Sus scrofa: one gene and its partner. The protein of the gene in region 1 interacts with the protein of each later gene in a pairwise test. Links are inferred from orthologs where the notes say so. Each region holds a gene or a part of one and is shown in the gene's direction. Other genes may lie near its edges.

The links. The genes of interacting proteins can lie anywhere in the genome.
Region 2: the proteins of TXN2 (region 1) and SCYL3 interact in binary tests that used the Homo sapiens proteins (3 or more experiments, as listed by UniProt). The two-hybrid records come from large-scale screens. The link is inferred for Sus scrofa from reciprocal best matches to the Homo sapiens genes TXN2 and SCYL3.

The regions. Positions count from the first base shown.
Region 1 is NC_010447.5:11,263,313-11,267,438, forward strand, and holds the start of TXN2 (thioredoxin, mitochondrial), read left to right. Parts: upstream 1-1,326; 5' UTR 1,327-1,363; coding exon 1,364-1,402; intron 1,403-2,130; coding exon 2,131-2,393; intron 2,394-4,126.
Region 2 is NC_010446.5:81,132,556-81,136,834, forward strand, and holds the start of SCYL3 (protein-associating with the carboxyl-terminal domain of ezrin), read left to right. Parts: upstream 1-1,479; 5' UTR 1,480-1,961; intron 1,962-2,146; exon of another isoform or gene 2,147-2,275; intron 2,276-2,404; exon of another isoform or gene 2,405-2,601; intron 2,602-3,016; exon of another isoform or gene 3,017-3,154; intron 3,155-4,279. UniProt on the Homo sapiens protein: May play a role in regulating cell adhesion/migration complexes in migrating cells.

The DNA.
Region 1 (4,126 bases):
AAGGCAATTAATGCTGCTCAAGAAGTATGAGTAGGTGTTCTACCGAGTGGACATAGAAAAAAGGCTTTCAAGTTAAGCAAAGGCAGGGAGGAGGGAGAAGCATTGATTTATTCATAGAACCATAAGAAGTTATGAGTGGTTGTAAGGTCTTAGAGCCAGATTTAATCCCTCAAACTGCCGACTCCCTTATCTTGTTCAACCAAGAGCAGCCTGTTCTGGAATGATGACTGCCCTAACTGCATTTTGTCTTTGCTAATCTTCAGTTCCCACCATATCATGGAACATTGTTACAACCCCTCACCTCTCCTCCTACCCCTCCCATGTAGCCTGATGCCAGCCCTGACACTGGTTACTTTAGCCACAAGCCTCTATAAAACCTATTCCCCCGCTAATACCAGGGAGCCTGTGCTTTCTCTCAGTGCTTCTGGCCATCTTCTGTTCAGTAAACCTACTTGAAGCCTCAACGCTCTGGACTCTCTGCCTCTATTTCTGCTCTGAAACCCCACAGCCCTTTCCTGCTCTAACATAGGTAAAGGGTGCAAGGGAGACAAGGGGTGGCTGTGAGACCAGCCTGAGACACACAAATGCCTAGACTCCTGTTGTCCATGACAGCGACAATGGGTGAGAAAGGAAGGCCCAGGCCCAGGTAGATTCAGGGATCATCACACTTTGCCTGGGGCCTCAGAGGCAGGCCCTCCAAGTATCACTACCAGTTGGCATCTTGTCTGGGCCCAGTTTCTCAGCAATCCCAAAGAGACAAGGGTGGAAGACAAGCTGAGCTTTTCATGTCACATTTTGGGAAACTGAAGTCCCCAAGGGCAGGAAGACTTGCTCGAAACCACGAAGTTATACAGTCACATATGACAAATACGAGTCAGCGTTCTCTGGACTCCCAACTGAAGTCTTTTGCTTCGAAGCGACATTAGGACAATGAGACAAAAGGGTGGACATGCTGGTCAGCAAGTGTTTGCAAACTCGAGGACCACGCCTCCCCACCGCCCTTCTCTCCGCCCCCCCCCCTCCCTGGCACTCCCGCCTCCTTCCCCTCCTCTTCCGGACCCTCCTCCGGAGCCCTCCGGCCTCTTCCTGTCCCTCCCCAATGATCCGCCCCTCTTCCGGTTCCTCCCCTAAGAGCCCGCCCATCTTCCGGTGTCTCTTTTCAAGAACGCTTCTCTTCCGGTCCCTAACGGAGGCTCCGCCCGTGCCTGCCCTCTAGTTGAGGACTTGCTCAGGTTGCCTTTCCCGGAAGTGACGCTAAGGCCCGCCCCTCAGGAAGTGACGACAGAAGTGCCCTTGACCGGTGGGGCGGGCCGTGCTGTGCGTCGCTTCGCTCTCGTTGCTGGGAGGTAGGGGCCCTGTGGGGATGGTTCGAAGTGGTATCGCGGCTGAGGCGCCTCTGCAGGCGCGTTCCCATGCAGGCCGATGGCCGAGCGGGCAGAAACCCTGGGTGGGAGGAACTTGCCATTCGGGGAGCCGGGGTTCCCAGTTCCTTCCACACACACGTCCCTTCTTTATTAATTCCCCCCCCACCTGCTCCCGTGTCACTTCGTTCCTATTTGAATTGTTGCTTGTCTTCTTTCCTGAACCTTTGACAACTCTCCTTTGTCTTTAATTTCCCATTAAAACTCCTTTTAAAAGAGTAATCGATAGAGTAAGGACTTTTCAGACTGTCGTGGGCTCTAGTGTCGACTCTCCTTTAATAATTGGGTTGCTTTGGATATGTCACAATTTGCTTGAGCTTCTAAGTCCTTATCTATAATATGAGCAGTAGTACAGTAGAAACTTCTTCATCGTTGATCTGGGAGGACTCTAATGCCTGTAAGATACCTATCTCTTAGCAGGTGCTCCATAAATATTGATTCCTTCCCCCCTTCCGTCTGTTGTAATTTCACCAATATCCTGCTTTTTGGGTTGTCGACCTAGTTTTCCCATCCTGGTTTTCGATTCCTTTTTCCCCTTGATTCTCATTCTTTACTCACTTTTCCTCCAGAAGTCTTATGTATTATTTCCCAACATTTTGTTTCTGGCCCTGCATCTTGAGCCCCCTGGTACTCCCACATACCTTTCTGATTTCTGGTGTGTTGACTTCCTGTTCTTTGCCCCTACTCTTCCTACCTCTTCCCTTCACAGATGGCTCAGCGTCTTCTCCTGAGGAGGTTCCTGGCCTCTGTAGTCTCCAGGAAGCCCTCTCATAGTCGGTGGGCACCCCTCGCTTCCAGAGCCCTGCAGACCCCACAGCTCAGCCTTAGTAACCTGACAGGAACACCCAGCCAAGCCCGGTCATTATACACTACCCAGGTCTGTACAACAACCTTTAACATCCAGGATGGACCTGACTTTCAAGACCGAGTTGTCAACAGTGAGACGCCAGTGGTTGTGGATTTCCATGCACAGTGAGTCCTGGGGGGGTCAGTAGAAGACTGGGTGTCACTTGTTCTGGTATTTATTGAGCACCTGCTATGTCTCAGTACTATGTTTGATGCTTCTCACATAGAGATCGGTGAGACCGAATCCCTTATCTCAAAGATTAGTGTAGTTTGGTAGGAAACCGACTAGTAGGAGTTCCCGTTGTGGCTCAGCAGGCTGAGAACCCAACTAGTATTCGTGAGGATGTGGGTTCGATCCCTGGCCTCGCTCAATGGGTTAATGGTCTGGTGTTGATGTGGCTGTGGTGTAGGCCGGCAGCTGTAGCTCCTATTTGACCCCTAGCCTGGGAACGTCCATATGCTGCAGGTGAGGCCCAAAAGAGAAAGGAAGAGGCAGACTAGTAAACAATCTTCAGTCTTCAGAACACTCCGTGGGTATTCCCATGGTGGTACAACGGCATTGGCAGCAGTTGTCTCTGCAGCTCCAGGCCACAGATTTGATCCCTAGCCCAGCGCATTGGGTTCAAGGATCCATCGTTGCCACAGTTGCGATGTAGGTCCCAATTGCAGCTCAGATCTGGATCTGATCCCTCCTGGGAACTCCATATGCCTTGGGGTGGCTGTAAAAGAAAAAAGAAAAAAAAGGAAGAAAAAAAAAGAAAGAAAAACTCCAAATAGTGCTGTGAAACAGTTATGTTCTGTATCTCACTGCCCAAGTGGCTCAGGTCATCTTTAGCTTGGACCAAAGCAGGAAAAATAAGGCTGTAGTATCATCTGGCTTTTGGTATATTACCAGTTCCTGACTCTGCAGATAATTGTGTTTAACATCTTGCCACCCAAGCGGAGAAGGGCTAGCAAAAAGTTGTCAGTTCCACTGATAAAAGTTAACAGTTGGGTGCCCAAGCGTGCACTGGATGGACAGGAGTTTCTTTCTGGTGCCCTGTGAGTTTGTTTAAAGGATATTTAAATGCCTATGGCATTCTGGTTGTCGGTCTGGCCTTTTTTTTTTTTTTTTCGGTTGTTATTGTTGTTGTTGGCCTTCTTCCTTTCCAGACCTTTGGAGCCTGGCTGGATGCCTGGTTCTAAAACTACTGGACAAACCTTTCAGAATAGGGCATCCTTGGATTTCCCGTGTGGCTTACGACAGAATGGGGCATCCTGAAATGGGAGCCTGAGTTAGAAGTTGGGAGACCTTGTGGGCAAACCACTGACAGATTCTTTTGCTTTCCTTCGCCTTCTTTCTCTGACTCACCATGCTGCCTTGGGCAGGCCATGTGATGACCTTATGCCTCCCTTTCTTCACGTGTGGTAGGAGCTAAGGTCTTGCAGACGGGGCTTTTAGGTGTTGTGAGTTCATTAATTGAAATCTCTGAATGCAGAGGGTCTTCAAAGCTGAGAATAAATTAGGAGTCACAGGGAGTTCCCGTTGTGGTGCATTGGAAATGAATCCGACTAGTATCCATGAGTTGGATCCATGGCCTTGCCAGTGGGTTGGGGATCTGCCATTGCTGTGAGCTGTGGTGTAGGTCAGAGATGCAGCTCAGATCCTGAGTTGCTGTGGCTGTGGTGTAGGCTGGCAGCTACAGCTCTGATTTTACCCCTAGCCTGGGAACCTCCATATGCTGCAGGTGCAGCCCTAAAAAGCAAAAAAAAAAAAAAAAATTAGGAGTCATCAGGCAGGGGTTGGTGGAAGGCAGAGCTGTCCTGCCCTCCTGGTCTGCTGAGCACATTGGAGAGAGCTTCCCAAATGAATGATTTGG
Region 2 (4,279 bases), on another chromosome or scaffold:
TAGGTACTTGAATAAGGCCAATGAGGGAAAACCACATTTTTCTGAACCCCACTTTGGTGCCTCTCCCCACCTTTAAGAGATAAAAACCCCTATAGGACAATAGAGAAAGGGGGCTCTTCTCTCCCCTCCCAGCAACCCTGGGAGCGATCAGCTTTCCTTTAATAAAGACATTGATTGCTGCCTGTGTGTTCCTGGAGGTCATCCTTCCACCACCTTGAACGAGAACCCGGATTCCAGTATCATCTTTCTGGCACCAGTATCAGCTTATTAGTTATGATGAATACTAGAGATGAGGTCTCAGAGAATGATCTCCACTCCTGAATAAACATGGTCTAAAAATTTGAGTCCTCAGCCTTTAGAGATGCCATCTAAGGTTTCATCTCTATTGGTCCTGGAAGATTTCTGGTTGCCAGATGCTGAGAATAACTATGATAACAGAATCCTACCATAACAGAATCCTACCTCTGCAGCCCTCTACTTCTGCTTCTCAACTTTCTAGAATGGCACCCCCCATACTATAGTTGCTATCTATAAGTGACTTTTGAGCACTGAAATATGGCTAGTTTAAATTGTAAAAAATACACATCAGATTTTAAAGACAGTACAAAAAATGTAAAATATCCCATTAATAATTTTTTATTATATTTTAACACCTATCTTCTGGATAGGTGTTAAAAAAAGGCAAAAAAAAAAAAAAAAAAGGAATGAGAGGAATGGTGAAAGAAAAAGACTAAACAAAACACCTATCTTCTGGATAGGTGTTAAAATATAATATTAACTTCACCTCAGAGTTTTTACTGTTTTTAATGTGGTTACTGGAAAATTTAAAATGACGTATGTGACTCAAATTGTATTTCCATAGGACAGTGCTGACGTAGGACAGAGCTCGATCTTCAATAACTTAACAGGACAGATAAAATACTATTTGTGTCTACTTTCTAATAAATACTCATTTCTGAATAAGGGACAAAGTTTGGTCTGATATTTGCTTTTATTTAATCGGGTAAAGAAATTGTGGGGTCCTTGTCCATATTGCTATAGACCAAAAAGAATTAAAAATTTTTAGGTGATCAAATGACTTAGCTGTCAACTGTTAGGTAGTAGAAACGTTAAAAACCAGCGATGATAATAACTACTACTAAGTCACATGCAAGATAACAGAAAAAAACTTGGTTGGAATCATGTAGTTTTAAAACTATCACGTATATTCTTTATTCCACAACACGCTATTAAGTAGCAACGATTAATATTAATAATAAGTACTATTAAGAGTCCTAACTTGACTCCTTGCAGAATTAACTGTAACTTCGCATCTTCTGCCTGAAAGGCTTCAGCGGCAATCACATCAACCTCCGCCAGCTTCAGCCGCGGACCCGCGCTACTCGGCCCACACAGCACAGCCAATCAGGGCTTTGGGGTGAGCTACGTCACTCTTCCGAAAGTCCTCTCCAATTTCCACAGTGCTCCTATTCTCCGCCCGCCTCTTTCCTATTTGTCCAAGGCGGCGGCGGACGGCCATTTTAGATTTGGGCGGAAATGCAGTTCAAACTGTGCGGTTAAAAGCCTGAAAATTAAAATCAAGCCATATTTGCACGTTAAACTTAAGGCCCAAGAAAGCAGTCACCTTCACGGACTAACTAGGCCGCGGGCACAGAGAGTGAACGGCGGAGTCGGCACCGGCGCCCACACTCAAGATGGCACCAGCTTGAGAATCACCCTCGCGGCCGCTCTATCTCGGTTCCGGGTTCCTTCGCTTCAGTGGTGGTGTTGGAGGGCTGAAGGCTGGCATTCTATCCGGCTTCCGGACAGTCTCTATGGTGCCGGAGGGACCAGACCTCAGAAGATTGTGGGTGTAGTGGCCAGAGCGTCACGGGGGAGGTGAGGGTGGTTGGTGTCAACAGGGGGCGAAGAGGGGACCGGAGCCAAGACCCTCGCCCGCCTCCCCCGCCGCCCTCCCGCAGGTAACAGGGAGCCCCACGCGGCGTCCTCCGTCAGTGCGGGCCTGGGCCGCGGGGGAGGGGGCCGGGCCGGGTGCGAGGCGGTGGGCGCGCGCGCCCCGATCTCGGGTCCGCGCTTGGGGCCCGCTCGGGGGCGAGCTCGGCGCGGCGCCGCTGCCGGTTGAGCTCTGCACTCCGGCTCCGCGCAGCCTCTCCTTGCTGAATGTGGGGCGCCCTGCTAACCTGGGCTTCCCGGGCGACCCCCGCCCGGTGCGGCGCTGGCGGCCGGAGCTTTCGAAGGAAGCGAAGGAGTTTCGCCTCGCGGGCAGGTGTGGAAGGTGAGGGGCCAGCGTCACAGGACTGCCGCCCCTGCCCCTCAGTGGTCCCGAGGAGTCGCGGTTGGACCCCCGCTCCCCTGCCCCAGCCCCCTGGCCGCCCTCCTCGCAGCGGGCAGGGCGAGTGTGCGCGGCGGGCCGGGACTGTGCCGGAGGCTGCGTGGCCAAGCCGCGGGAGCCTAGGGTTCCCCGCGCTGGATGCTGCCTTCATTTTCGATCCAAGACCAGTGCCAGGCCCCCAGAGGCCAGTTGGCTCCTGTCTTTGGGTAGTGCTTTTTGTTAAGAATAAAGATGAAACATTTCCCGGAAAATCATTTATAGGAAACCATGTGAGTCCTGAATTTTGGAATCCCTGTTACTATTTTTAAGTATTTTTTTATGCATACCCACATAACATCCCATGTCTTAGCTGAAATCATACGTAGTTCTTTTGGTCCATAAAGGCTTCATTATGTATTGCTGGACTGAGTTTAAGGAATGTATATGTGAAAGAGATCAAAGCAAAGGGTCTGAAGTACTGTTATCACCAGATGGCAGAATACGAATCAATACACGGTGCCCTTTGAACTCCCAATGCAAGCCCTTATGGTTGGAACTTCCAAGCCCAGGGAGCTAGGATCAAGATCATCTCGATTAATTGCTGTGAAATGAACAGAGGGAGAGAGCGTTCCCCGGAGCACACTGATTTCTTAGTTTAGTGTATGAGTTGCCCCATGACCTAGACAAGGGCTTTTAGTCCCACAGGTGGCCCAGAAACTTGATATGCTGGCCAAGGAAGCAAAAGGATGGAGGAAGATAGGTGAACAACATTTTAAAGAGAAGATCATGATGCATGTTCATGTCAGAAACTGGCTACCCAGCGTTTATTAGAGGGTGGAGATGGTAAATTCTGCAAAATACCCATGCTAATATCACAATATTAGAATATCCTTTTCTGCATTTTTGTGATTTCTTAATTTCAAAGTTAAAAGGTTTTATGTTTCCCCCTTAACTCCTCAAAACAAAAAAGAGCACTTTGGAAGTCCAGATATTTTTCTTTATCAGTATTACATTTCAGTAAGCCAGTTTTAGCTGAATTAAATAATTTTTAAAACACTTTGTATCAACAGTTTTGATGCCTCTTAGGAGACAGTTTTGTGAAGTTAAGAATTAAGAATTACTGCTTTTAAGACATCTTCAAATTACAGTCAACAGTACATCTTATTTCCCCTTAATGAAGTTTGCACTGGACATGGGCTCTAACCCAGCTACTCTGTAAGCATTGCACGGATAGTATCATGGACTTCTGTCAGCATTAATCATGCTTTCAAAGCAATGAAATGTTATCCTTTTGAGTTCTTACAAGAAAGGGATTCATTCCTTTTTAATTTTTAGGTGGTATTTTCTTAGGGTCTTAGACTCAAATATGCACTGCTAAGAAAAACTACCAGTTTTAACTTCTTCCTATAGCTTTTTTAACCCTCAATTGTTAATGATATTATAGTGGGATTCATAATGTTAGATGGAAGGTTAATAGTGTTCCCACGAGGAACTGTTTTGCTATTTAGAAATGACTAAGTAAATGGCCATTGCTGTACCTTTGCTGACTGCCATTCATTCAGCTAGAGCCCTGCCACTGAACTCTCATGACCGTTTTATCTCCTTTAGAGATTAATATTAAAACTAAGTAAATGGCATGAAGATTCTCTGCCAAGAAAATTTTCATTTTCCTGCAGCAGTTCCTTATGTGTGAATTTTGGAAAGCTCTATTTTGTGGCTAGGAGAGAGAAGGAAGTTAGACTAGCTTCATCCATATATACACTTTCCAAAGTGGCACTTCTCTTCTCCCTCCTCTAGTCTGACTGGTTTTTTCAGACAGGAGGAGTTAAAAAGAACTGCTTGTGAAATGGCAGTTGGTTTCTCAGAGCAGAGACCCATTCAGGCTAACTCAGGGGGTACCTCAGGCTACCCAGGATTGTGGGTGGCAGTGAGGAAGTGGATTTGAAGCTGGGCTTCCTGTAGCCTTGA